7 linked regions of the Tribolium castaneum genome follow. The main gene of each other region encodes a partner of the protein of the gene in region 6 in a complex. Links are inferred from orthologs where the notes say so. Each region holds a gene or a part of one and is shown on either strand. Other genes may lie near its edges. The genes, in order: Nup75, Mgtor, Nup107, Nup214, PCID2, Nup153 and Nup54.

What was found.
Region 1: Nup153 (region 6) and Nup75 share a complex: the UniProt entries of both Drosophila melanogaster proteins name them as parts of the nuclear pore complex. The link is inferred for Tribolium castaneum from reciprocal best matches to the Drosophila melanogaster genes Nup153 and Nup75.
Region 2: Nup153 (region 6) and Mgtor share a complex: the UniProt entries of both Drosophila melanogaster proteins name them as parts of the nuclear pore complex. The link is inferred for Tribolium castaneum from reciprocal best matches to the Drosophila melanogaster genes Nup153 and Mgtor.
Region 3: Nup153 (region 6) and Nup107 share a complex: the UniProt entries of both Drosophila melanogaster proteins name them as parts of the nuclear pore complex. The link is inferred for Tribolium castaneum from reciprocal best matches to the Drosophila melanogaster genes Nup153 and Nup107.
Region 4: Nup153 (region 6) and Nup214 share a complex: the UniProt entries of both Drosophila melanogaster proteins name them as parts of the nuclear pore complex. The link is inferred for Tribolium castaneum from reciprocal best matches to the Drosophila melanogaster genes Nup153 and Nup214.
Region 5: Nup153 (region 6) and PCID2 share a complex: the UniProt entries of both Drosophila melanogaster proteins name them as parts of the nuclear pore complex. The link is inferred for Tribolium castaneum from reciprocal best matches to the Drosophila melanogaster genes Nup153 and PCID2.
Region 7: Nup153 (region 6) and Nup54 share a complex: the UniProt entries of both Drosophila melanogaster proteins name them as parts of the nuclear pore complex. The link is inferred for Tribolium castaneum from reciprocal best matches to the Drosophila melanogaster genes Nup153 and Nup54.

The regions. Positions count from the first base shown.
Region 1 is NC_087399.1:876,580-880,879, reverse strand, and holds Nup75 (nuclear pore complex protein Nup85), read right to left. Parts: upstream 2,801-4,300; 5' UTR 2,692-2,800; coding exon 2,668-2,691; exon of another isoform or gene 2,623-2,667; coding exon 2,181-2,622; exon of another isoform or gene 1,961-2,180; coding exon 1,707-1,960; exon of another isoform or gene 1,661-1,706; coding exon 1,538-1,660; exon of another isoform or gene 1,484-1,537; coding exon 1,265-1,483; exon of another isoform or gene 1,132-1,264; coding exon 1,016-1,131; exon of another isoform or gene 966-1,015; coding exon 429-965; exon of another isoform or gene 376-428; coding exon 171-375; 3' UTR 121-170; downstream 1-120. Other genes in the region: oxidized purine nucleoside triphosphate hydrolase, read left to right, coding at 1-115; uncharacterized protein LOC660898, read right to left, coding at 2,803-2,890, 2,936-3,372, 3,422-3,665, 3,886-4,250; mRpS23 (small ribosomal subunit protein mS23), read right to left, coding at 4,281-4,300. UniProt on the Drosophila melanogaster protein: Component of the nuclear pore complex (NPC) that seems to be required for NPC assembly and maintenance. Required for nuclear import of phosphorylated Mad via importin msk.
Region 2 is NC_087394.1:8,236,026-8,239,525, reverse strand, and holds part of Mgtor (nucleoprotein TPR), read right to left. Parts: intron 2,364-3,500; coding exon 2,019-2,363; intron 1,960-2,018; coding exon 1,858-1,959; intron 1-1,857. UniProt on the Drosophila melanogaster protein: Component of the nuclear pore complex (NPC), a complex required for the trafficking across the nuclear envelope. Functions as a scaffolding element in the nuclear phase of the NPC.
Region 3 is NC_087395.1:26,509,844-26,514,101, forward strand, and holds the start of Nup107 (nuclear pore complex protein Nup107), read left to right. Parts: upstream 1-1,458; 5' UTR 1,459-1,548; coding exon 1,549-2,412; intron 2,413-2,462; coding exon 2,463-2,624; intron 2,625-2,864; coding exon 2,865-3,325; intron 3,326-3,601; coding exon 3,602-4,258. Other genes in the region: sodium-coupled monocarboxylate transporter 1, read left to right, coding at 1-142. UniProt on the Drosophila melanogaster protein: Plays a role in nuclear pore complex (NPC) assembly and maintenance. Required for nuclear import of Mad. Mediates the association between the nuclear pore complex and a subset of active chromatin regions adjacent to lamin-associated domains.
Region 4 is NC_087398.1:6,201,336-6,204,955, forward strand, and holds the end of Nup214 (nuclear pore complex protein Nup214), read right to left. Parts: coding exon 639-3,620; intron 591-638; coding exon 563-590; 3' UTR 501-562; downstream 1-500. Other genes in the region: ribosome biogenesis protein WDR12 homolog, read left to right, coding at 1-487. UniProt on the Drosophila melanogaster protein: Part of the nuclear pore complex. Serves as a docking site in the receptor-mediated import of substrates across the nuclear pore complex including emb, RanGAP and phosphorylated Mad. Protects mbo/Nup88 from proteasomal degradation at the nuclear pore.
Region 5 is NC_087397.1:8,459,988-8,463,190, forward strand, and holds PCID2 (PCI domain-containing protein 2), read right to left. Parts: upstream 2,020-3,203; 5' UTR 1,865-2,019; intron 1,799-1,864; 5' UTR 1,787-1,798; coding exon 590-1,786; 3' UTR 501-589; downstream 1-500. UniProt on the Drosophila melanogaster protein: Required for the export of nuclear mRNAs and involved in mRNA trafficking in the cytoplasm.
Region 6 is NC_087394.1:31,197,843-31,202,029, forward strand, and holds the start of Nup153 (nuclear pore complex protein Nup153), read right to left. Parts: upstream 2,801-4,187; 5' UTR 2,687-2,800; coding exon 2,618-2,686; intron 2,388-2,617; coding exon 1,838-2,387; intron 229-1,837; coding exon 1-228. UniProt on the Drosophila melanogaster protein: Component of the nuclear pore complex (NPC), a complex required for the trafficking across the nuclear envelope. Functions as a scaffolding element in the nuclear phase of the NPC.
Region 7 is NC_087397.1:2,066,925-2,070,976, forward strand, and holds the start of Nup54 (probable nucleoporin Nup54), read right to left. Parts: upstream 2,801-4,052; 5' UTR 2,701-2,800; coding exon 2,643-2,700; intron 2,187-2,642; exon of another isoform or gene 1,511-2,186; intron 1,461-1,510; exon of another isoform or gene 717-1,460; coding exon 1-716. Other genes in the region: sra (protein sarah), read left to right, coding at 3,197-3,389, 3,435-3,907. UniProt on the Drosophila melanogaster protein: Component of the nuclear pore complex (NPC), a complex required for the trafficking across the nuclear envelope. Essential for the nuclear import of nuclear localization signal (NLS)-containing proteins in an importin alpha/importin beta-dependent manner.

The sequences.
Region 1 (4,300 bases), on a different chromosome or scaffold from region 6:
GTTAAAAGAGAAATTTTTTGCGGCCAGAGTGACTTACAGTGACCCTGACACAATCACTGATACGAAAATTGAGGAATTTGAGGACTTGGCGAGTGCACTTAAAGTGGCCAATTAAAAGTATTATTGTTTACGTAAAGTATTTATTTAATAAAAAATTGTTAAAAAAATCATCATTTTAATTGGGCTTCGTGTACCAAAGCTCGTGCTAAATTCCGGGTCGCTGACAGTCTCAAGATCGGAAGTTTGTCTTTCAAGTCTTTGGTTTTTTCCTGCTCTTCCAAACACTGCATAATGATGTAGGTATCAGTTGAGGAAAAAACCATTTTTTCGCACTCAAGTAGCGGTATTGCGTCAGTTAATAGAATACTCCAGAAACTACAAGATAATCTTTAGATAAAAAACCGCAATTTTAAGTGTTTTCCCCTTACAAGTTTGGTATTATTTTCGACTCAAGTAACGAAACGAGCAAATTGGCGGCTTCTTTGTACTCGTTCGCTTGATATAACTTCTGGAATTCGTAATATTTGCCTAAAAACATCAACCTATCGCTTGCCAAAATACACGATCCGAGATTATCCAAAAGATCAATACTGTTCAAATCGCCACTTTCGGCATACTCTCGCAGAAATTTGTTCGATAAAAACGACACAAAAGTGCCGTCTTGTGATTTGAGGGCCCAGGCGAGGGCGTGTCCCAGACGCCCCCGGTTTTTACAAGCCATTCCTTGCACTTTACAAATACTTTGTGCCGTTTCGGTTAAATTCCGGTTCAGAGCCTCTCTCACAATTTTCTCAGCCCGCATTTCGGAATTTAGAGGCAGTCTTGCAAGTAGTAATTTTGTGACTTCAGGGCCATCGCTGGGACAGTGGTCCAAGTAGCTTAAACCGACCTGCCATAGTGACTTATGGCCCATTAAAAGCGAGCCATAATCGATTAAAAATGACTCGCGCAATTTATCAGGGTGGCTGAAATAATAATTGTAAAATAAACGGTTTAAAAAAAATCGGGGACTCACAAATTTTCAATAGTTTCGATAGTTGTGTCGCTTAGACGGCCTGAATGGTAAAGTAGGTCGGTTAAGTGGCTCACAAACCAGCCACTGTCTGTCATATTTTGGATTTCTTTAATCACCTGGCAAAGAAATGTTAGAATTTATGTGTACATTTGCAAAAAAGTGTAAAACTAAAAGTATAGCCGAAAAATACAGGATTATTCAAAAGTCTCAGTTTTATTTAATAACTTAACAGAGGTGGCGCCATATTACCTGTAAAATATCAAACTCCATTGCTGCCAACAACATCCTATCCAAATGCTTAATTCTATTCCCTATGGACATTTTCGTGATACACTGTTTGGCAAACTGTCCCAACTCAAACGATTTAACAGTAGGTTGGGTAAAAAATAACCACGCGGCTAACATTTCATACCACGTCTCGCAATACTGCTGTATTTCCCCCCATGCAATTTCGTTACCAACCGTAAGCTACAAAAAATCTTATAAAGAAAACTACCAACTCAAACACACTTAAAACAAAACCTTCATAATCAAATTGAGATTATAACAAGAAATAAACATTTTCGCATCAATTTTCGATTGAACATCCACGACCCAATGATTCCATTGTAGATTAAATTCAGCGATTGAAGTCCCACTAAACATCTAAAGTCGGCCATGAACACCTGTCAATTTCTCCCAGCCTACTTACGTTATAAACCGGCATTGCTCTCAGACACTGATCCACAATTCTGAAAGGTTGTGACTCAGCTTCTGAGTGTAATTTAAGTAGGGCCCTAACGACCTTGACCCGCCCTTGTAATAGTGACCCAATGACAGTTTCCCAATAGTCAGGGTGTGACTCCAAACCACCCAAATCCCCAGCCAACATACTTGCCGCATTTCGGTCATATTTCGGAAAATGAAACCGAATCCAGTCCAGTAAGTGGGGCAAAACAATGTTGCCTAAAACCCCAACTGTTTGGCAAAAATCCCCAAATTTTGTGTCACTACAGAGGTCTATAACTTAGGAGGAAACGATGTACGAAATTACCGGATTTTCTGAACCTAAAAAAGTCCGGAATTTTTTTTAAATATAGTTAACGATAAAACTACCGAGTTCAGGACGTTTTATTTGTACGTCGTTTCGCATCCTAGCTTTTAGATATCCGTGTCACTAACCCACCTGGGACCGCATCAACAAATAAGATTTCACACAAGTGCCAAATACACTCAACTGAGTAAAAAATCGTAATGTAATTTTGCAATTCTTCGCGATAATCGCCATCGGCTCGCATCACCTCGTCTTGCAAATTCTCCAAACAGGCCCTTATTATGGACCTGTACTGCCGGCTAAGTTTCAATAATTCGGCCTTGTGGTCGCCCTCAGTGGCTACAAGGGCTTGAAGGGTTAGAAACGTCCCGTTGGCCTCATTTACCAATTTGCGTAAAATTGGTTTGAAGAGAATAATGTCGGGGCGCAGCTGAAACACAGAGGCGTCCGAGGGGGCAAAGTGACTCGGTTTATCAACTTTTGGTGTTTTCTGGTGGCCGAAAACACCGAATTCGTTGACGGAAAGCCACGAAGCCGCCACTCCAGCACGTCGGCATAACTCATTTGGAATAACCTACAAGTTATTATGACCTAACCTCAAAAATTGATCGCTGCTTACGAAAGTTTTGGCGGTATTGTCCATTAATACGGGTCGGGAAGCGTTAAATAACACGAAATTTTGCGCCTTTTCATTCAAAAAAACCGTATTTTTTTCGAATTTTGTTTGAGGAGAGCGGTTAGCCGGGTCGGTAATTTAGAAATCTGTTCGGTTACTAGGGTTACTTTCGTTTTGGGTTGGTAGCGAGAACGGTAACGGTAGGGATTTAACTTCGCCGTCAATCCTGTGGGCGGGTATTTTGAATTTGTTATATTGGGGTGATACTCACGTTGAGGCCTTCTCCTGGTGCGAGTGTGACGTTGAGCGCGATTCTGTCGGTTTCTTGCGTACGAAAAATCGCATAATGAAGTCTTTTTCTTTGAGCGTTTGAGTGTCAATGCTCCTAATTTCTGCCTCTCTGGCTTCCTGCATGCGGGCTTGATCTGCGAGGAGCTTGTCAATTAGATCCTTAATTTGGCCTCTGGAATGTTCAATTCTGGAGGTCCACTGTTTCATTAAACGGTAGTTTTCCCTTGCTTTGTTGCTCCGATCGTTTACTTTCACACTAGTCATGTCCCGGAGCATCGTATGGCGAACACTTTGACTTTCGAAATATCGCACAATGTAATTTGAAAGGGTGCTTAAGTAAAGCATCAAGTGGTTTATGTTCTCGTCAGTGCTTACTTTATTTTTTATCAAATAATTGACAATAAACCAGTCCACTAACTGCAAGTCGTATTTTGCCAAAACAAGTTAGAGAATTATCGGGACTTACCCGAAATTCAGTCACTGTGATTCCCTTAAGTGCGTGGCTAACTGCAATTTGTTTGATTAAATCGAGCGCTTGTTCGATGCGTCTCTGTTTGAGATAAGTTAAAACCATTTCATGAACGTGAAGTAACGAGACGAAATGAGTGATCATTCGTCTTTGGATAGTATATGTGTCTGTTTGCTGATTCGGGTTCCGGGCACTTGCAGCCCCAAACTTTTCTACCACTTTATCAGGCATTTTCAATGTCCTGCCAAAAAATAGAAAATAACCCGGCGCATCCACCATTTTTCAAATTCAAATAAGTGTTTAAATACGTTCTGGAGTAAGCTAGTGTTGTAAAAAAAACATATGATACGTAAAATGAGTCGCTGAATTCACTGGAATAAACCGTTTTGTTCTACGAATTTTAGTTTTTGAGTTATGAATTTTTTGAATAGGCAAAAAAATTAAATTAAATAAAACAGTACCCTGCGTGGATGTCGCTAACAATTTGCCCCAAATGCCTCTTCAGAAGCGACAGCACTAACTGTGAGGTTCTGATGGTCAAGGGGGCCAAATGATCAGCTGTGAAAGTCTGAGACTTGATGTACATACTCTGCAGTTCGCCGTAATGAATCAATTCACTGTCACACTTCGACACCGAAGGCTTTTCAGACAAATGAAACGAGGGGGAAGTACATATCGAAGGATAGGTGATTGATGGTGGAATAGTTTCGATACTCCCGGTATAAAAAATATGGGAATAAGTGCTTTGTTCGCTACCTCGTGGACGACTCAATTTTTTACCCATTTTAATTTGACGTAAAATAAAACAAAGTGTCACAAAAAACATTTATTAAGACTAGATTTTAACAAAAAAATACTACGATTTAAATATATCAA
Region 2 (3,500 bases), about 23 Mb from region 6:
TCGTTGCATAAAACACTACATATTTTATAGTTGCTTTGCTCTTTGTGTCAAGTTATTTCGCTTTTTTAATGTCAAATCGTCTCAAGAACACTTTGTCCAAACACAAGTACATGTGGATTTTAATAGTGATACTTACTAAACGGTCATTACATTATGTGAGGTGTTTGTGTGAAGTTCAAGACAAAATTTTGAACAGAAAGAAGAATCAATCAATTTTTGTTTTGCGTAAAAATTTTCAAATAACTGGTAGGTTTTAGGTTATTTAGAGAATTCTATTTCGAAAAGTCTATGGATAATGCCTTTTAATATTATCACTAATTTAAAGATTTTTACTTTGACAAAGATTATTACTTTTGTGTTATTAATTGTAATAAAAACACCGGAGATGTCATCTTGTGCAAGGGTCCCAAAAATATATTATCTTGATCTGCTGAGATAACTTTAAATGTGAAACTTACTTTTTGGTCTGCTAATAAAAAAAACTATTTTAGAAATATTTTTTTAAAACAAAAAGTTAAATATGAATCTTGTTTCTTGATTTTTTTTATTATTATCTAACTGTACACTCACCAAAATTAAGGTCAATATTAAAATTGTTACGTTATCTGATTTTTACGTGATTCGAAAACTTAAAAAACTGTTAATGAGAATAAAAATCACGTAAAGAAACAAAATTTACGACAAATAAATCGTATTTTTTATTGAAAGTACAGTGTGTGTTAGAATGATTTTCATCTAGTCGGTTATAAATTTCTCAAATAAAATCGGAAATGCACATTGTATAATAAAGATTGATTAACAAGTGTATAATGCACAAACAATTTAGTTACTAAAAAAATATGCATAACAAACCACCATGACGATTAACAAAATTTTTTTTACAATCAACTGTAATAAAAAAACGTTAATTTTTTTTAATAAATTTTAACATGTAGACCAAACTATACCATCGTCAAGAAAGACACAAAGAATATTTCTGGTCAAATTTCATACAGTAAGACTTCAATAATCCGAACAACCAGTAATTTCTTAAAACATAAATCAGATTCTTCACTTTCTTAATCTTAACTTTACCTCCTACACAAAGAAGCTTTCATGTTTCGAGGAAGATAACATTCAGTATACATTTTCAAAAGCCAGTCATGAGCCAGCCACAGTTTTAACCTATTTATATGGTTTCTTCCAAAGAAAACCATAAATATCCCTTTTTTTCATCGTAAACGGTAAAATGGCATTTTATCTACTGATTACTTCATGCTGAAACGAAATTTTATCGTCTACAGAAATATGGTTGAATTGTTGATTTTTTTTACGTTTCCAATTGTCAATTAAAATAACTCAGTAATTATTCAAGCGAAATAATGGTGGATGGAAAAAATATATTGCGTAAGATGAGAATATTCACCGTTATCTTCTCAAGCATTCTGATTTCGAAGTTAAAAACTACTATCGGGTAGAATTTTGCAAAAAAAAGCTAAACCACGAAGCTGAATATTTTCAATTTTAGATTTTATACAAATGTGAACCATTTTTTGTGCGTTTTATTGAAATAAACATAAAAAAGAAATTGGAAATATTTTAGAGAAAACTTATTTTTAATATAAACAAAAGACGATTACAATGAAAACTAACTAATTTTCAATTCACTTGAACTGAAATAAAATTTAAAAAAAAAATACGAGAAATTCATGTTTATGACATTTAAAATTTTCAAATAATTTTATCATAAAATTCGTTTTAGTTTACCGTTGTACAAAGCGGTTAAATATAGTATATTTATTCTAAGAACATCACCTTATACCAACTTTTCTTAAATAAAAACTCAGGAAATGTAACTTATGCCTTACAGTTACATACCATCTGACTGTGTTGTTTGACTGGATCCTTGTTCCTCACTCCCAGGTACTGCTTCTTGAGGTGAAGCTTGCAGAGGCGTACTAGGAACACTTCTGCCCGTACCTAAAACAAAAGAAACACCCTGTTAAAAAGAAAGCATCAACAAGTGCCCCAATCCATACTATTCTCATCCATATTTGTGACTTCTAATGTCTGTTCAGGAACGATCTCACTAGAACCGGCAGTGTTTGGAGGAACAGACTCGTTAAAAGTAAACCTCCCACTCGTGGGCACATGAGGAGAACTAACGGCCTCACCAAAACCGTCAGATCTTCTCGGCACAAATAAAGTAGGCGTTGATGGAACAATACCATCATCGCCGCCCTCTTCCAGCCCGTGGGACAACAACAGATGCGACTGTTGCTGTCTGGATAGGAGAGGGGCTATAGGTCTAGTTCGCGAGAAGGAAGGCATTGTCATGGAGACTGACGTCGAGGCTTGGGATAAGGTTACACCACCGGGGCCCCCTTGAAGCAAATAAAAATAATAATAAAAAAACGGGAAATAAAACAGCCAACCACCAAGGCCTAACTGCACCGGTATGGCTTAAGGGTGGCAAATTAACCGCACCGTAAATAAGTGCAGCTTAAAATTGTCTAAAGCTTACGATAGTTTAAACTGAACCGTACCTTGGGTGCCGCTTAAGTAGCGTTTACGCTCATTCTGGATTTGTATATTGAAAAAATTACTTAGGTTGCTTCAAAAAAAATTTTTAACAAAATAAAATTCAATACACCTTCGGTATAAAAATATTTCTCGTTCTTACGGTTGCTTAAAAATTGAGAATACTTTGATAGTAATTGTTGTAACAGAATTTTTTTACAATATTATTCCCAAAGATAGGGACCGATGCAAAAGGAGAATGGATTGGGTGATAAAGATGAGATAAACAGACAGAAAATGGTAAAATTTCTGAAATAATGAAGTTATTGATCTTCGAAATAATAATTATCTTGCCAAATTATGAAACATTTTAATAGTCTTTAATTTTTTTCAGCCATTTCATTTTAACGGACACTGCACAAATTTTTAGATTTTTGAAGTTTTTTCTTCAGGACAAGATAAAATTACAAATGAACAATCAAAAAACAAAATTTTTAGATTTTATTTTCAGTTTCTATGAACAGTATCAGTAGAAATGAATTTTTCTTTTCCCTCTAGGAATTTACAAAGTAACAGTCAAACTGTTTATATTTACAATTAGAACCACATTTGTAAAATTTGAAATACGAGCAGAAAAAAGTACAACTTGATAACGGACAGGACAAAAAAAGATTCACATTTTTATTGTTGAACAATCGTTATAAAATCATGCTAATAATAATACTGCCAACAATTATTTTTAAAGTATAAGGTGGAATTTGTGTAAAAACAACTCTAAAAAATTTATTCAGACAGGTTTTAATTATTAAAGACTTTAAGAATATTAAAACTACACAGTGGAAACTAAAATTTCTAGACCTTGTTTAACAACATAAGAAATAAAAACATTTATTTGTTTGCAATAACGGACCGCACAGCAAAAGTAACGAAGAAAAAACAATAATATTATTTACCGATTTCCATTTTCTAAATTACCAGAAACTAATAAAACACTTCAAAAC
Region 3 (4,258 bases), on a different chromosome or scaffold from region 6:
GAAAACCATCAAACATAAAACACGGAGAAATGAATCGATGAACCATTCGCCAAGTGCCACCAGTATGGATAAAAAGAGCGGAAATGCGAATCCCGCTTTCACTCAAGACGTACAAATGGAAGTGTACAGAACCAAATTATGATTTTTCTTTCTTCCTAGAGATGGATGTGAGAAATGGACACGGACTCGTGTTTTTAGTGCCTTTTATTTGGCAACATCTGTGATCTCTAGCTGATAAGATACAAGTGTTCGATTGTTGAATTATGCAAAGACTACTTAACTATTTTTATACCTTATTACATTGTTATTATTGAATAAGATTGTACAACTTGATACGCGTACGTGTTGAAATATTTATTTTCTTTTGTAAGCTTAGACTAGTGCTAACAACGAGTATTTATTACAACATTTTAGTACAATAATATTTAATTAATAATAAGCGTAGTGTTTGTTCAAAGAGTTTAAGCTACCAACGAAAATATAATATAAATAAAAAAAATTTTGTGGATTTTTGCCTCCTTTAAATGCCTACAACCGAAGTTATTGACAAAAAAAAACGCTCCAAGTACTGAAAAGTCGCCCAATATTTCCAGAATCTTAAGTCAATGAATTTCCGAAAATACAAATACATACCACTAATGTGCAGTAATCTAATTTTTGTTGAAAAGCGTACAATTTACCTCACTTTGTGCTTAAAATGTACTTTTCCTAACCACAAATGAATTGACAAATATTTGGAAAGTGATGTTTTTTACAAGTTTTCAAGAAAACTTGCTTTTTCACCAATTTCCAAAAATAATGCCCACAATAATGTGCAATAATCTAATATTTTGTTGAAAAACATGCAAGTTACCTTACTTTGTGCTTGAAACTTCCAAATTAACACTGAACTTCTAAACTAACACTTAACACTTCATTCTTCCAAATCCTGATTGTCACAGTAACTGAATTTAGGAATATCCGGGGAAAAACTGGTGTTTTTTTTCCACAATTTATAAAAAAAACGTAATTAAGGTAACTTTTTCACAAATTTTTCATAAATGTAGACAAAAAAGATCCGGGCACACACGAGAGACGCGATAATGGAAAAAGTGTTGCCAACCAAATTCACTGAATTTCCGAAAATAGTACCAATAATGTGCTATAATGTTAAATTTTGTTAAAAAAACATGCACCTTACCTTACTTTGTCACTGGAATCACCAAATTATGTAAAAATTACACTTAACACTAAGTAACATCATTTTTCCAAATTCAGTATTCACACATGATTTACAAATTTTTGAAAAAAACCGGTGTTTCCTACCACAATTTATAAATTGAACTTAATTAAGTTACGTAATTCAACACTTTTTTCACCAATTTTCCTTCAATTTGAACAAAAAACACGATAAACACAAACAGACGCGATAATTTGAAACAAATGACGATCGAGGAAAAGAAAAACTGTTACCAACCTGAATCTAGGGACTTTGCAACGCTCTGAGGCAACGCTAGACTTGTTTTTTGAGGTTATGCAACGGCTTTTTGTGTGTGTTTTTTATTAAAAATGGATAATGATTTGGAACGGTCGGTGCGTCTTCTCGAAGACGCTCTCCAGACCCCCACAAAAGGGCTATTTAAGGTCTCGACCGCAACTCCAAAGCGTGAAAAACCTAACCTCAGCTTTACAATAAACCCCGAAGACTTAACCGGCCTGGAATATGGAAGTGTTTATCAAAACACCTTGTCTTTATTTGTCGATGATGACAAAACGGTCACCGGGTCGGTGATCCAAGCAGGAACTCCATGGAAAAACACTGTTAATAATTTATATACAGAGTTTGCGGATATCCTGCAGGGGTCCACCGGAGGCCTTGATATCCTGGACGTGGCCGAAGACTTGGCGAGGTGTTGTAGTGACGCTTTGGCGGTGGTTAAGTCACTGAAAGCCAAAGTGGCCACTAGTGAATTAGCCGAAGAGAAATGGCTCGAAAATGAGCGGAATAATTGGAGACTGCTGTATGTCCTGTACCAGGATCGGATCCAGGCCCAGAACCACAGTAAGGAAGGGTTTGAGGAGGATTTCGGGAGCAGTGAAAAGAACTGTGTGTGCGAACTGTTCAAACGAGAGAATTTGGTTAGGGAAAGCCAGTTGGTGATCGATTGGCTCGAGAGGAACGCTCTGGAGAAGGGGGACCCCATTTTAATGCACTCAGACTGGACGTATGGATGGGAACACACTTTGCATCAATTGCTAGCACCTGATGCTATTGCAATTGGGAGTAATGTGGATATTATCAAGAACATACATCCAGATGCGCCACAGTTTCAGCGCTTATCGCTGCACCACTTGGATTACGACAATGACAAAAAACTATGTCAGAGAATTTTTATGGAAATTAGGTGCGGCAACCTTGAGGGCGCCCAGGAAGTTTGTGCTGTTTTCAGCCTTTTATTATTTATTCAATAATTAAATTTCAGTTATGTTACAACAGTGGTTATCCATGGCGCGCTGCGATGTTAGAAGGCTGGAAGCTTTTTCATAATCCCAACCTGGAAACAAGTCTTGAAGAGTATAAAGACGTAGAAGGGAACCAAAGGCGGGATTTGTGGAAATCTTGCGCATTAGATTATTGTCATAGGGTAAGTTTTTCGTTCCACAGCCTCTTTGACAGTTCGGGAACTTCGCTATCTTTTTTTTTGATACCATTGTTACTAGATAAACCGATGTCACTTTGGCAGTTGTAAAACATGTATTTATTTTATGTTTATTTATTTAAAATTTCTGGAAAATAATTAACCAAATTTAGGACTGAAGACGAAGTTTCGTATCTATCAAGGAGGCTGTTTTATAAATTTGAAAAAACTACTAAAAAATTTCAGTCAAACTTGAACATTTATGAAAAAGCCGCCATTGGTAGTCTTTGTGGTTTCTTGGAGGGCATTTTGCCCGTTTGTACCACATGGGAGGACCACCTGTGGGCCTACATGCGAACCATGGTCGATATTCGTGTTGAATCGGAAATTCGCGACTCAATCATTAAAAACTACATACCACTACCTGAAGAATATTGGGAACAAAAGAAATCATTAAGTGAAATTTTTACAATTTTGGAAGCCTCGAAAAATATTGACATTGCAAAAGAAGCGCATGAAATTGATCATGTAATTCAGAAACTTGTCATTTTAGACGAAATTCCCACACTGATACGCCTCCTAGATCAGTGGAGTGAAGATCTAAGTGTTACGACACAATCTCTTCGATTTTATGCTCACTTAGTTTTGTTTTTTGAAAGCGTCGGAGACTCCACTCATAGAAAAACGTGTGAAAAAATCGTCGAAACGTAAGTTTTCTTGGTTGTATAACTCGACTTAAGGCCGGGCGCTTTAGTCTCCCGGTATGGTGACTATAAAAAAATTTGTGTCTAGTGTATTTTATGTTCTTAATGTTGACCATAATCTCGTCAGAACTAAATTATTGCTTTTAATATTTTTACCACTTTTTTATAGCTACGGTATTATTTTTTGTTTTATTTGACTTCGAGCTTCTATAAAAAAACATAAAGTGTTTGCTACTCACCGCTGCGTTGCTTGTGTTTTAATATCATTTGTTTAATTAGATATATCGAGCGTTTGAGCGAAATGAACGAAACCCAGCTTGTGGCCTTCTACGTGAGCAAGCTGGGAAAATCCAAACAAATCCAACTTTACGCCAAACACTGCGAAAAACTGCTTTCGACTGAGCAACGCAAAAACGCCCTTACTTACGCTGAAGATTTCAGTTTGGACGTATTTGCTATAACGCAACAAATCGTCGAAATTATAACAAGCCGACCGTCTGAATCCGAACTTCCCGGTAATCTCCAAGGTAAAATCACCGAAATCGACGAACTCAAAATCTCCGCTATTGATTGGCTGATGTTTTACGAGGAGCAACGAGCCGAAGCATTGGCTCAAACCAATTCTATTATTTTCAAATTTCTGATTTTGGGCAAATTAGAAGCAGCCCAATTGGCAATCAATAAAATTCCTTACGATTCTATAGAGAAGATACGCAGCGAAGAGCAGATTCATCAGATTGTTAAGAATTATTTGAGTTATAAAGCGTATTTGGATGCACATGAGGCGTTTAACGAGTGGTTTAGACAGTATAGGAATAAGCCGATGCCACCACCTGAACTGCCCGAAAATGCACAATTTACTGAAAAAGTTGCTCATAATCATAAAGTCTCGCAGTTTAATGCCGAAGCGGAACGGTGGAAATTGACGACATCGCA
Region 4 (3,620 bases), on a different chromosome or scaffold from region 6:
AGAAACCATAACTTCGACTTCCTGGATTGACAACCATGTAATTTGCACTGTGTCAATGGACCATACGATTAAATTTTGGGATGCTGAGTTGTGTGGTATCAAGAATGAAATAGTTGGCCAGAAGGCATTTTTGGATTCTTCTTGGTCTTCCCTATCTAACACATTATTAGCATGTTCAGCTGATAGACATATTCGGTTGTACGACCCAAGGTCTTCAGAGGGTTCAGTGGTCAAGACTACTTTCACCTCACATACGCTATGGGTCAGTTCAATTGAATGGTCAAAATACGATGAACACCTTTTTATGTCGGGAGGATACGATTCTGGTGTCAAATTGTGGGATTCCAGAAGCCCTAAAGCCCCACTTTATAATTTAGAGGGACACCAAGGGCAAGTCCTAGCTGTAGATTGGTCCAATAACAAGTATCTGGTCTCTGGAGGGTGCGACAATAGTGTACACATTTTCAGAAATAATTATGTGTTTTAAGTGAAAAATAAAATTAATTTTAAAAAAATTTATTAGTTTCAGCTTACAAAATTTAACGTAAAACATTTTCCTTCATTAACGCCAACTGGAGAATGAGGAGCTCCTACAAAAAAAAATGTACTATGCCATTTATCAGTTTAAAAATTCTTACCCAGAGAACGGCGCACTCTGCGCTGGGGCGTTGGCAGCTTGCTGTGCCAAATTCCCAAACCCTACTGTTGGTTGATTGGCTAAATTACCAAAAGCTGTGTTCTGGGTACTAGCAGCTGCCCCAAACCCGGGGCTTGAGGACCCAAACACCTTTGAAGTATTCCCAAAAGCCGGTGGGCTGCCAAACGCCGGCGCTCCTCCAAAACTAGGCGAACTCCCGAAACTGGGCGATCCCCCGAAAACGGGAGCTGCCCCAAATCCCGGTTTTTGGAAGCTCTGACCTGCCCCAAACCCGGTTTGTCCCACAGTTCCACTCCCACCACTGAAGGGCCCCGCAGGTTGCTGACCGAAACTGCTACCCCCGAAGAAGGACGACTGTTGGCCGAAGGAAGATTGGTTCCCGAAACCGGTACCAAAACTCTGGGACGTGTTACTGAAGAGCGATCCACCACTGGAACCGAAAACTGAGCCACTTGACGACACTGGAGAGGCTCCGAAAACGCTCTTATCGCCCCCGAAGGGGTTCGCAGGTGCACCGAAACCCGAACTTGCAGTCGTTGAAACATTGAGACTTCCGAAACCGAACGTTCCGGAACTGGTATTGGTGCCGAAAGTACCGGACTGAGTAGTGGCAGGGGCGAAGACATTCGACGAACCGAAAATAGAGGGAGTCGTAGATGCAGGTGCCCCAAAAAGTGAGGGGGCAGTGGACGCAGGTGCTCCGAATAAAGATCCACTAGTACCGAAAGTACCTCCGCTTGTAGTCGTTGCCCCAAAAATGCTCCCAGAGCTCGTAGTTGGTGCATTTCCAAAGACGGAACCACCCGTTTGGCCAAAAGCGGGTGCTGAACCCCCGAAAACGTTCGTACTACCTGACGAACCAAAAACAGAACCTTGACCAAAAGCGCTTGTATTTTTGCTCCCATCGAAGGGCTGGCTTTGGCCGAACGTTGAAGAAGTTGTGGTACCACCAAATATCGACGGCTGTGTGCTTCCGAATATTGACGGTTGAGTCGCATTTGGTTTTGCATTAAATAGGGAAGGCTTTTGGGCGGCGTCTCCAAAAAGACCGAACCCTTGAGATTGAGTTGTCGTTGTAGGACTGGCAAAAGTCGACTGAGTGGTACCAACAGGAGTTCCAAAAACTGGGGTAGTGGGAGAGCCGAAAATTGACGATTGTGTCGTAGCTGCAGCCCCAAATGAACTAGTAGACAAAGGGGTAGCACCACCAAAAATCTGAGTGGTAGGTGTGGTAGCGCCAAAAACAGTCGCTGGTGAAGTACTTGACGAAACATTGCCAAAAATTGACGGCTTTGATACATTACTATCGGTACTTGCAACAGTACCAAAGACAGAAGCTGTAGTGGAGGATGATGGCAGGGCTCCGAAGATGGATGGTTTCGAAACGTTTGAATCCGTGGTTGCAACAGCCCCAAAAACACTTGATGCAGTTGTGCTGCTAAATATTGACGGTTTCGAGGCGCTAACTTCGGTACCACCAAAGAGTGGTTTAGTTGAAAGAGCACCACCGAAAAACCCAGTTGTGGGCGGAGCTGAAGATATGGTTGGAGACTGAGTAGTACTACTAACAATAGAGCCGAAAATTGATGAAGTTGTCGCTGGCGAAGAGAAAATTGATGAAGTTGTTGCTGGCGAAGAGAAAATTGATGACGTTGTTGCTGGCGAAGAGAAAATTGTTGAAGTTGTTGCTGGCGAAGCGAAAATTGATGGAGTTGTTGCTGGCGTTGAGAAAATACTAGTTGAAGATGGGACTGTTGTAACAACAGGAGCTGTAACACCGGTAGTTGTAACAGCTGTAGTAACAACAGTGGCCGCACTGGTGGCGATTTTCGGTGTTGTAGTTACGGCAGGAACAGCCGGTGAGGGAAAAATAGATGATTTAAGTGCCCCCAATGAAAACGGTGAGGACTGAGTTGATGGAGTGCCACTGGTAGTACTAACTGAATTTGGAGCTGTTACACCAAAAGTGGGTTGGATTGAGACTGGACTCGAGACAGCTTGCGTTGTTTTAGGACTGGTTGTTACAGAAGTCGTAGGGAAAATTGAACGTTGGGTACTGCTAGCAACGGGGGAAACGGCAGAAACCACCACATTTGGAGTACTTGTTGCAGAAGTAACTACTGGCTTTGTAGAAAACGTAAAGGTTTTCGATGTCGCAGCTTCGGTCACTTTTTGTGTTGCTGCACCGAAAATACTTGAAGTATTAGTAGCGCCACCGAACGAAAACTGGGTGGAGGTTGGTGCTGTGGTGGTAGCAATACCAAATGACGGAGTAGAAGTTTTCGTAAAAATCGTACTTTCCGCGGTAGTACTAACACTCGTGGATAGATTAAAAACAGAAATAGACGTACTGGGTTTGGTAGTCGCTGCACTACTTGTTAAAATGGGCGCCGCACTAGTAGTTTGTAAACTGAACGAAAATGTAGTTTTAGGCAAAGATGTGGCAAAGAGGTTTGTCCCCACCTTTGGGGTACTGCTAGTAACTGGTTGGGAAGACAAATTAACAAACGATTTAGGTGCTTGCATGGTTGCAGTACTAGTCACTGCCACAAAACTGGGACTTGTTTTAATAATAGACGCTGTCACGGCTGTAGTTGCAGCCATGAAGGTGGGTTTGTAAGTATTTGCTGATGCAGAAACCGAAGTTGAGACAAAAGCCGAATTTGGAGACCCAGCAATCACGTTTTTAGTCAAAGGCGTGAAAGTTTTCTCGGGCAAATTTGTGAAATTTTTAGCCTCGAATTTAAGGGCTAAATTTTGTAAACCTTCGATTGGAGTTGCCGTGGAGTCGAATTTGAGCACAGTGGGTTTGGGAGTTGACTGCGCAAAATCGAGAACCCGAGGTGCAACTGAAGTTTTTTCGGGAAGCCGACTAAGTTGTTTTGGCGGAGTTTGGATTACGGAACTGGCCAATTGAGGCTTCACGAATGAAATATGTGGATATTCTCTTTTTTGGAGAAAA
Region 5 (3,203 bases), on a different chromosome or scaffold from region 6:
TAATAAAAAACTAAATAGTTTTTGACTATGATAAAATTTCCATATAAAATGTATGAGTTTAATTTTCGGGTAACAAAGTTACCTATGGGAAAATAAATCCTTTTGTGCAAAATTTCGCAATATGTAATATAATATTTACAGTACATTTAAAGGATGTATTCGGTATTAACTTCGTATCTATTATGTAAAGCTTAAACGAATATTTTTTACCTATATGGGCATAATCATTAGGTGATTTAATATGCATTATTGATTTTCAAAACGATTCGTATCGAGATTAAATCTGAGCAATTTAAAAAAAAACAACTGTAGTTGTGACCTCTTCGAATAACAAAAGCAATTTTTAATAAAATAAAAATTCCATAAACATTTTTAATGCGGTTTTTATTATGCATACAACATTTAGCTTTTTTCTTATGACAGCAGGGTCGCTTAGTCACTTCGCAGTATAGAGATTTATAGACGTTACGTTTATGCTTTAATAAAACACAAAAAACGGGTAGTTTTAACAGTTTATTTCATATGCAATTACAAAATAGTTACAATGCAGGTAGAGAACGACGAATTATACAAACTTATAAAAACTTAATTATGATAGACTTGTAAGTGGCGGAAATGGATTCTGTTTACTAACAACAACCTTCCTATGTTGATGCGAAATGTATCCTTTAATTTTCCCTTCATAAATAAGATTAGCAACAATACATTCTGTTTCATCCAAATCAACATCAGTCTGTCCTAAATACACTAAAGCAGTCTGCAGTGCTTCAATAGGGATTTGATGCGTATTTAGAATCAAATACACCTTTTTAAACAAATTTCTATATGCTATGATTTTCAGTTTATCAACAATCAGATATATTCCACACTTGATGAAAAAGGTTTCGTGCTTTTCCATAATCTCGTCAAACGCTTTGAGATTACCCTGACATACAGCTTGTACTAAATCCCACAACTGGATGACGTCATACTTCTCCAGAACCTCCTTGCTTGGGATATACCCCAACAACATTTTCACAGGAACTAAGTAAATCAATATAAGCGTTTTGTTCTTCTTACTGAGCTTGTGACAATTTTCAAAAGCATAAGTTAAATACTCATCGGCGACTTTATAATCGCTATCAAACATAGCCTTGCGCCCCACAAAATACCGATATGTGATTTGTTGGCTCAGAGAAAAACTCTCTTTAAACGGTGATGACTCAATCGCTCTGATTAAGGGCTTGCACAAATGTAGCTTATTTATCCGAAAATAAACCTTAAACAATTGATTCACCAAAGCCAACATCCCTATCCTCTTTGTATCCTCCTCTGCTGACCTATTATCAGCAGCACACACCCTGAAACAACCCATCAAGCATTCTGCTGCCTTCTCGAGCATTTCGCCGGGCTTCTCATTAATTCCGCTCCTCTGATTCTCGGCTAATTGCGCCAAAAGACGCAAGTCTAAGCACAAGACATACATAATAGGCAAAGACCAATTCTCCTCCTTTTGCGATTGCAAGATCTTAGTGAAAGTTTGCGTCAAATTGCTCTGAATGTTATAAGCCGATAGATAGTCACTCTGGCTTATGGCAAACAGGCATTTTAGGTGCAAAATCACTAATTCGTCGATAGGGGCGGTCAAAAAACGCTCAACTATTCCCTCAGGACTCTCAATGTGGTAATTGGCATAACCTGCATGTTCGTGGCGAAGAGACAGAAAACTGGCCACTTTTGCACCGTCCTGAGACCGCCAATACCTTTCCACAAGTTGTAGGTAATGAGCAACGGACATAAAAGTCATTTTGCTGAAAAACTAAGGTTAGGGGCGTCAGTTAACCGAAACCGCTTCATTTATAAATGAAATTGAACTGTTACTCACGTGATTTAGGCACAAGTGTTATATTTGTTGCTTCCGTTACGCAAAGAACATTATGTCTTACGAGTTTGACGAAAAAATGTTTGAATAAGCTTGAAAATAAACAAGTCTTTGCAATGGTGATAAAATGGCCGATAGGGAGCGGTGCGATTCATACAAGTAAAATCAATAATAATTTCTGTGACCTAACAAAATTTAAGATATTTGAGCTTAATTCGTGTTATATGTCCCATAGTACTAATAATAGGGATTAAATTAATGCAAATCCTGGAAGTAAAATGCCATAAAAACGAAAACTGTTCGTAGACCAGTTCGCAAGCCGCATGTTTTCTTCCCACACAGAGATGGCGCTCCGAGGAACAGCTTGATGCAACTTGACCGGGAACTTATCCAACTTGATTTTATTAAAAAATTTTTAGGAAATTATAAACACAGTCGTGAAAACGTTTTATTATTCTAGTCAAGGATAAATCATAATTTAAAAATCCATTACACAGGAAAGTAATAACTTCAACAATAATGAATTTAAAGCGCCTAGTAATGGAATTTATGGAAAGAAATTATTTACTTCTTTGCTATTTTAAACTTTAATAATGCTTCACGTGCCAGACCCATAAATCAGTATAATAAGCAATTTAAACGTTAATTGTAGTTTACTTTTAGCTCCTTATGAAACAAAAAAATTAAGTACTGTTTATTAGAAACTAAAGCTACACATTACGAACTTAAAAGTATTTGTTTGTATAGTGCTACTTAAAAAACAAAACCATATTTTACAAAAAAAAACTTATAAGTATAAGTAGGTAGACGACGTTTAAATTACAAACAAGTTATGTTTTAAATGATGACCGTACAAAAGCATATAAAAGGTTTTTATGTTCATCTATAAAATTTAAAAACAAATTTTACAGGGTGTCCCAGCAAAAGTATATTTTTACTGCATGACAAGCTAAATAATTACACAGAATTCCAAATTTGCTTTAAATACTTTTAGTATGCCTTATTATGTACCATAAAAAGTTATTTTTTCTATATCTACATTTTATAATTTTAAAATAAAACAATATAAAAAAGCAATATTCTATATCTTGAATGTCTGTGTGATTAATGATTATGATAGTTTGAGAAATGCAACGTAATTATTAACAACTTAAAAAAGAATCAAAAATAAAGAACTATTTAACAGAATTGACACGTTTACTGAAATATGATTCTGATGTAATTTTTTTAGCTGAATTTAAATCCGAAAGTTTTTTTTTTGATTTGGAATAGCCTTCACTGTAAAAAAGACGTTTATGTAAAAAAATTCAAAAATTAATATAAAGCAAATTTGTGTTCACAT
Region 6 (4,187 bases):
TTTCTTCGCTAATTTTACCTAACCTACGTCCGTATGCAGAGGCGCCGCCATAAATTGTATTGCCGCTATAGAAAGGTGAGCTCAATATTCTCTTGGTAGACAATGTTCTGTCAATAAAGTTCGGCGAGCCGAAAGTCGATGCGTTAAACGATGGCCGTCTTGAACTCAAAGAAGTGTTCATGTTGGGGCTTCTTTCCGAGAATAAAGTACGTCCGCTTGATTCGTTTGCTAAAAAACGAATTGATTGTTTCAATTTTTTAATTAATAAGCCTAAAGAAAACACAAAACCGATAATATTCATAAAAACACATGATTTATAAGGAGTGTGGCACAATTTAAATAACTATTTGAAGTATAATGTCCATACTTTTGCCAACTCTTGAATATTTTTTTATAAAAAGTACTCAAAATTGTATATTTTCAATCCTGAAAATAGCAAAAATAAGCAAAAATACTCCAAGTCTGCATTTGAAGCCGGAATAATACTCATGGATTTTTTCATTGTATTATAATTTCCATTATCAAGCTCGACCGGTTCAAATTTTGGCAAAGATGATTCATCAAGAATTAAATCATAGACTTAGAACATGACTAAGATTTTATTTCCCCTTTTCCGAGTACACAATATGAAAAGCAAATTATGTAAAGACTGGTGTTTCGCTAAACTGTATTTTTTTTAATAACAAAAAATAAAAAAATCACGTTTCCTCTTCCCCATTTTTTTAAAACAATCTTTACTCGACCTACTGTCGGCAACAAACGATTATTTTTTACGTTTTCATTAATTCCAGTGAAAAAATATCAGACTCAGTGAAAAACTGAATAGACGCGATTTGTGACATATTGTCCAGATTTAAACTATTTAAATCTTCTTGTTAAAGCAATTTTATTATAGAACCTGATATTCTAATAAGTGTATAATTTTTTATAACGCTAATTTTTGAAATTCACCCAAGAAGGTAGAAGAAAGAGTTTTTTAGGTTTCTGAATTTAATTATAAAAAGGACAACAAAGTGCTCATAATAGTGAATTAATAAATGGTAAAAATAGATAAAAGTCAAGACAAGCTCAAAAATGACGAGCCGGAATTTCAAGAATTTAAAAAAAAAGGTAAAAATGTAAAACAAAATTTATTAACAATACGAGAACAGTGACTAATTTACTTGTTGCTCGTCACGTAGGTATAATGAAAGTGATGACATTTTTGTGTGTACAGCGATGCTGTACTTTAACCTAGAGGTCAAATATTATAAAAGAAAACAAAACAAGGAAATTACTAGTTCCATTAATAACCATAACAAGTTTATTATATCGGTACGTATTTTAACCTTATTTCATACAATTATCAATATCTCATTAGAAGCCTATAAACAGATCAGATAGTTTATTTTACCTTTATTGCATAAATACAATTTTTACTAGACTTTGACCTCATACCCAAACAACTTATGTTCGTCATAAGAGTCTTGCAGATACTGGCAATGATATAAATGTAAGAGGTCTTTTACAGACTTTAGCTAACAGCAATGAGCGTAAACATTTTTCTTACTTTGGTAACTGGAGACCTGCTTTTTGTATACAAAAGCATGAAAGTTGCTGATAAGAGAAAAACTTTAATTTAATCATTTGTGGTATTATCAGTTTCTTATGGTTTTAAACGGATCGTATTTATGAGTTTTGATAATTTGTAATTTCATATTGTGCATTTTTCTGGCATGAGTCACAATACTAAAAGTATAATAAAGTATTCCTGAGACAATTATGTACCCAACGGTTGCCAAAGTTAAGAAAACACTGCAAAAAAACTAAAAACAAACATTATGTAACGTAAACTTACATGAAGTAAACAAGGACCTAGTTTTAGGAGTGACTTTTTCACATGTTTCCTTGTGAGATATTTCTGCACTTTTGGGTTGATTAAGCAATTTGGGTGCCGAAGAATAGCCACTAGTTGATTCTTCACTGTCAGAGTCATTCTCACCGTTAACAATTTCTTGATTTTCGAACGAATTGGTAGAGACCGTATTTGTGCTAGCAGAACGGTGTCTGTCGAACAATTTGCGGGATTTAACCCCCGACGGCCCCGCCACCGGTTCAGGAAACTTCCCAAACACTTTCGACGAAACATTGTTAACATTATTGGAAGCATTATGCACAGTCACTGGCGATTCAAATATATGTGCACTGTAATTGTTGTGTTCCACTTCAGACGGTAGTTTCACACGTTTGCTTGGTGGCTGGAAAACGTAGGAGGCATCAAAGTCGTCGTCGTCGTCGTCGTCGTCGTCCTCCCGCCTCTTGACCGACTTGGACGCCGAGTCTTTGCCGAACCACTTGGACAAGGGGGTGCTGTTGAAAAGCCCCGACACGAACTTGCCCACGAACGACTGCAAGACAAATTCAAAATAGGACCTGTTAGCTACCTTACACGTCAAGGTTAAATAAATAAATGCGAGAAACTAAGGTTAAAAACGCGTGCTGGTGGCACTGCCAGGTTGCATGGAGGTGCTGGGGCGACTTTTGGGCAGTGTAAAGACACTATTTCGTGAGAAACTTTTATAGCTATATTTAGAGGTGAGAACGCGCGAATATGTGCAAAGAACGCATTTTATCAAACCTTATCCAATCCTGCATCTTTCGAGTTGTCTGGACTGTTTTCGGCACCTTCATTATTATTATTTGCCATAATTACAATTGTTCTTAGTCTATTTTACACAAATAAAGTAATTTTGGAAAATCACACATTTCTATGACAACTTTCACCACACGAGGATCCAATATGGCGGACTCCAAGTGTGAAGTTAGCCGCTTTTTGCGCGCGCTCCCCCTCGAAGAACACGAAGTTGGCGCTTTAGGAACAAAGCTCTCCCGCTGATTTTTCAAAATTTTGAATTCAATCATTAAATTAATTTTGTTAATTTACTTGAAGTTTTTGAACAAAATAACAACAAATATTTAAAATTTTAATAAAAATGTTTATTACCCTTAAAAATACAACCATATTTTTTGCCAAATATCTTTTATAAAAAATTACAAATTTTTAAAAAATCAAAAAAATACATGCAATTTGATTTAATGTGAATAACTTTTACAGTTTTCAAACGTATAAATAGTACCTCAAAAAAATTTAATATTGAAATTTTTTCAAGGCGGCAACTGCCAAAACACAAGTGTTTAGTGCGGTTGCCTATCACAAATATTTATTAATAAATTCATTATCAAATTTTACTGCTATTTTTATACCTGCCGCGATAAAAAACATATTTCTTCCTTTAACATACTATTATTAAGATAATGTTAAATACTGTTTAATACACAAAAAAAAATTAACGTGTCGGCAATATTTAAAATTAACAATTCAATTTTTTTTAAATCTCAAGTAAAATTTTCTTGAAATCGAAAATTCATCAAGCTGGCAGGTTTAGGTACATTTCAATAGTCGTATTTGTGTTGTTTCTCACTATGAAATAAAAAATGCATTTTTTAATTTTGTGGCAAATTTATTGAAGAAAAAAATCAGAAAATAAAAGGTGGCTGCAGTACTTCCTACTGAGAGTTTGATTTACTGTATTCACTATAGTGAGTAGAGTAACAATTAACAACGAAATTGTTTATCTAAACAATCACATCAATAGAAATTCCAAATTATCCTTGCCTTTTTATGTAATGAACTTTCCCAAAAAATCAATGATACGTACGTATTTAAACACAGAAAATAATGTCTGCAATAATTGTAAAAATATTAGACATTCATTCTTGGCAATTCATTCCCTGTATTTCCCGGACATTATTAGTAAATCCATATGAAGCAAGTTCCTTCAATGTCTATAGATTAGTTTATATAACATGAATATTCAGCATTTTACAATATATGTTGCTGATGATTTAAAGTGGATTAGGGATCTTCGTTGACCGAGTTTTTACATGGTCAGTCATATGTGACAGGAGACAGAAATTTACTTCAGCATGAAAACATACCAAAATTAGGTATACCATTTTCGTAACCAATATTTTTTAAACTAATAATAATGTTAATGGTTTTATCAAAAAAATATAACATGAGCGCAAATTTTCAACACAAAAATTCACAAAATCAGTCAATTTATCAGTGTTCATGCTTATTATAAGCCGAGATTAATATTGTTACTCATAAATTTTCCCAAATAATAGAAATATATTGCTCAAGG
Region 7 (4,052 bases), on a different chromosome or scaffold from region 6:
AAACCCGCCCCCAAACAAACTCCCTTGTGTCTGTTGACCGAACCCTCCACTAGTCCCAAAACCCCCAAACCCCCCTGTTGTTTGCGTAGCCCCAAACCCCCCAAACAACGACGGCGCACTCGTCGTAGTAGTACCCCCGAATAAACCAAACCCTCCCCCTGTTGTACTCCCCCCAAACAGCCCCCCCGAAGTGGTGGCCGTGCCCCCGAACGAAGTCCCGAATAAACTCGGGGCCGAAGTTGTCGCAGTACCGAACAAACTCGGAGCTGGGGTACTGCCAGCTCCGAATAAACTAGGAGTCGAGGTGGTGACCCCCCCGAAAAGACTTGGGGCTTGTGTGGTGGTACCGCTCCCGAATAAACTGGGGGCCGAACTAGGGGTCGAAAATAACGAGGTTGAAGTGGTGGGAGTTCCGAAAAGGGTTGGTTTGGTTGTGGAAGTACCGAAAAGGCCGCCGCCGGTCGATTGACCGAAGCCGGTACCGAATGTCGGGGCTGAGGTTGATGCTGGGGCTCCGAAAGTCGAACCAAATGCTGGAGTGGAAGTTGCAGGAGTACCGAAAGTACTACCGAAACCTGAAGATTGAGCTGGGGCTCCGAAAGTTGAGCCGAAACCGGTCGACGGCTGCGAAGTGGCTCCGAAGGAAGAGCCGAAACTGCCGAAGCCGGTACTAGCCGTGGTGGTGGTTACCCCAAATGGGGTACCGAATGCGGTGGCTGTGGATAAACATTGGAAAAACATAAAACTATGACTAGGTGTTTACAAAAATTAATAAATAATCTAAGACGATAAGAAGTGTGCGTTTTAATTCAGGAAAAATCGAATAAATTGAATAAATTCAGCGAAATTTGTAGTTTTCCAAAGGAAATGGCTACGAAACCACAATCCTGAAATTATTTATTTTTCTATTTGGGTTGTTTCAACGAAAAGAAAAGAATTTCCATGAAAAAAGTATTTGTTACGGGGAAATGACCAAACGGAAACTACTCCTCGGTAAAAAATGCAAGTCAAACTTGAACTATGCGAATACTTATCGTGCAAAAAATACGCTGTTGTTAAGACTTAAATTTATGCAAAAACGAAATAAACACGAAATAAATGAAATTATTTCAATCCTTCAAGTGTCATTCCAGTCAAATTTTTTAAAAAGAATTTAAACACGTAGATAATTTCAAAACAAGTTTTTTTCGACTGCAGTGCCGCTTTCCCAATTTGTTATCACAAAATGACGGATTTTATTTATCCCAACCACAAGAAATTGCATTAAACAGCATTTTGTGACTCATCCCCGGGTTGTTATTTTACTGCGAATGGAAGGAAAGCAGGAAAACCGTGTTCGCACATATAAACACCAGCGATAAAAATTCAAAGCGTGGAAAGAAACTTTCAGTCGCCGATAAGTTCTTGCAGAGTTAAGTGTTTTTCCTTCGCTAATAAAAAGCACAATGTCGGGCCCTACGGTGAGTTTAATTTTTATTTTTCAAGTTGGATTTAAAAATTCCGATTCTAGCTATTCTCATTTCCTATCAAAGGGGCTACTAAAAGTTTTGGAACGACCCTTCAAGTCACAGACGATCAAAACGTACTCAAAATTGGGCAGAGTTTCACTCCCCCAGCTACTACCCTCATCAGCGAAATAACCAACAGTACGGTTACTGCAGAAACTGCTACCACTCCTGAGATTTCTCAAAATATTACAACAACGATTACCACCGTGATAACCGAAGTGACCGACAGTACGACCGAAACAATCGGTATTTTTGAAAACAACATCACTTCAGCAGTGGCCGAAATAAAAAACAGTACACAAAATACAACTTCAACCCCACTTGACGTATTTTCTTCAACTACGGATGTTTCGAACCAAATATATTACGAAGGATACGACGTTGAGGGAAAAACTTTGTACGTTGTTTTGGGAGTTATAATCGTCAGTCTGCTCTTAATTATCGTCATTCTTATCGTCGTTTATAAGCGATATAAAGCCAGCCGTTCAGGATCGCTTGATTGTGCAACCGATTTGAGCCAAGTTACCATCTCAAACGGAAGAATGAAATCGTATTAATTATATTTGTGATAATCTGTTATATTTTACTATCATTATATTTTTGTTACTCGCTTAGGTAGGTTTATTTATATCCTCAAAATGTTATTGCCGAAATAAATTCTTGGTTTATAAATTATAATCTAGGTTTTTTATTGAACACGTCCAGTTTTTCATGTTTTATCAGTTAAGTAATGAAATTACTTTTGTGTACTGTGCAGCACAGACGTGACAAAAAATTTAAGTTAAACACTAAACAAAACATTTTTTAGCGATTTGTTTCAAACAAAAATTGTTGAATTGTTACTCACACGTTAACAATCATCACAATTAAATTTTATAACCATTTAAAACACCAATTAACATTTTATCTGTAAAAAGTGTGGTGATTTGTATTGTTGAGTCTGAATGGTACAAAACGCTGCCACTTTTTCGATTTTTTCTGGTTAAAAATTAAGAACACAAACATTAGTCAGGCGTTTTGGGCAAAATTAAATCTCATTAATTACGGTTTAAAGGGAAAATAAATAAAACCGTGAATACCAAATAACAAAATAGAAAGAACTTAACCTAACTTTCTTACGGTTCTAAAACTTACGTTTATTTGCCGGGCTTCCAAAAGTCGACTGGTTTGCATTTCCGAACGAAAATGCCATAACTGCATTAAATTTAACGTTAGTATTTATATAAAAATAGTAATTACAATTTTTTATGTATTCACAAATTGAACTTAACGAATTGACAGAACTGTCAAACTTCAAACCTAGGTTATACACCGGCAATTTCACAAAATTTCAGCGTTTTCTGTACAAAAAAATACGAAATCAAAAAGTCGCTCATGTGTTTATGTTAATTATCTGGAAATCTATCCATTTCAGGGTTTTACGTTTTTTTAAGCTCATTCCTTTGTATTTCAATTCGGGCTGGCGAACTTTCGGCTTTCATCCCCTTGTCAAGTGTCATTCATTCCTGACATTTGGCATTTGCAATTGTTGGGTTGTGTTTTTTGCACTTTGATATTGCAATGTTTTTGTGTTAAAATTTAGTAGCGTAAGAGTTAGCCTTGATTAGTTTAGCCGAAAAAGTGCGCATTGTTTTATGGGGTTTAAACCGCGGTAGATCCTGTGTCGGTGAATTTAATCCAATTTTTCAATGGCTGAAAGCAACGGCGAAATGGACGACGATATCATCATTAACGACCAAGACGGCCTTCCCAACGTGCACCCCAACCTGCTGGCGGAGGCCGACATCGACAGCCCCGAGCATGTGACCGACGACGAGTTCGAGGACCTGCCGACGTCCCTCATCGTCACCAACATCCACGACAGTGTCTTCACCTCGCCCGGTAATCCGCCCCCAGCCCTCACCCGATCTGACCGTAAAATTGCAGAGAAAAAGCGCGAAATGGAGAACCTGTTCCGGAACTTCGACCCGGACGTGACATTCCAGTGGCTGCGCAGTTTCCGAAGACTGAGAGTGAACTTCCAGACGCCCGTGGCAGCCGCCAGCGCCCGCATTCAGCTCCACCAATACAAAATCAACGACTCAGTGATTACGTGTTACTTTGCTCAACCCGTCACCCCCGTCAAAAACCCCAGCCTGCAGCCGCCAGCCCCCTTCAAGCAGTTCCTAATCTCGCCGCCGGCGTCGCCCCCCCTCGACTGGGAGCCCCGGCCGGAAGGTGAGCCCATTATCAATCATGACCTTCTTGCAGCTTTGGCCACCCTCACGCCGGGGGCGTCGCACGAGGTGCACCCCCCCTCCCCCGGCCAGCCCAGCATCGTGGTGCACACGGCCCTGGGGGCGGACGGCGTGGGGGCCAAAGGCAGGATGCCACAGACGTCGTGTCCGGAACGGAGTTAATGATTTGTACAGGTCTTCAAGGTTATTTTAAGTGTGAGCTTCAGAGCCTCTCAATATGTCAATTTCTCTCTATGTAGAATCTGTCACTCATTTATTATGGAATTACGTGATTCATTTGTTGGTTGTAACTGTATCATTAATTTAA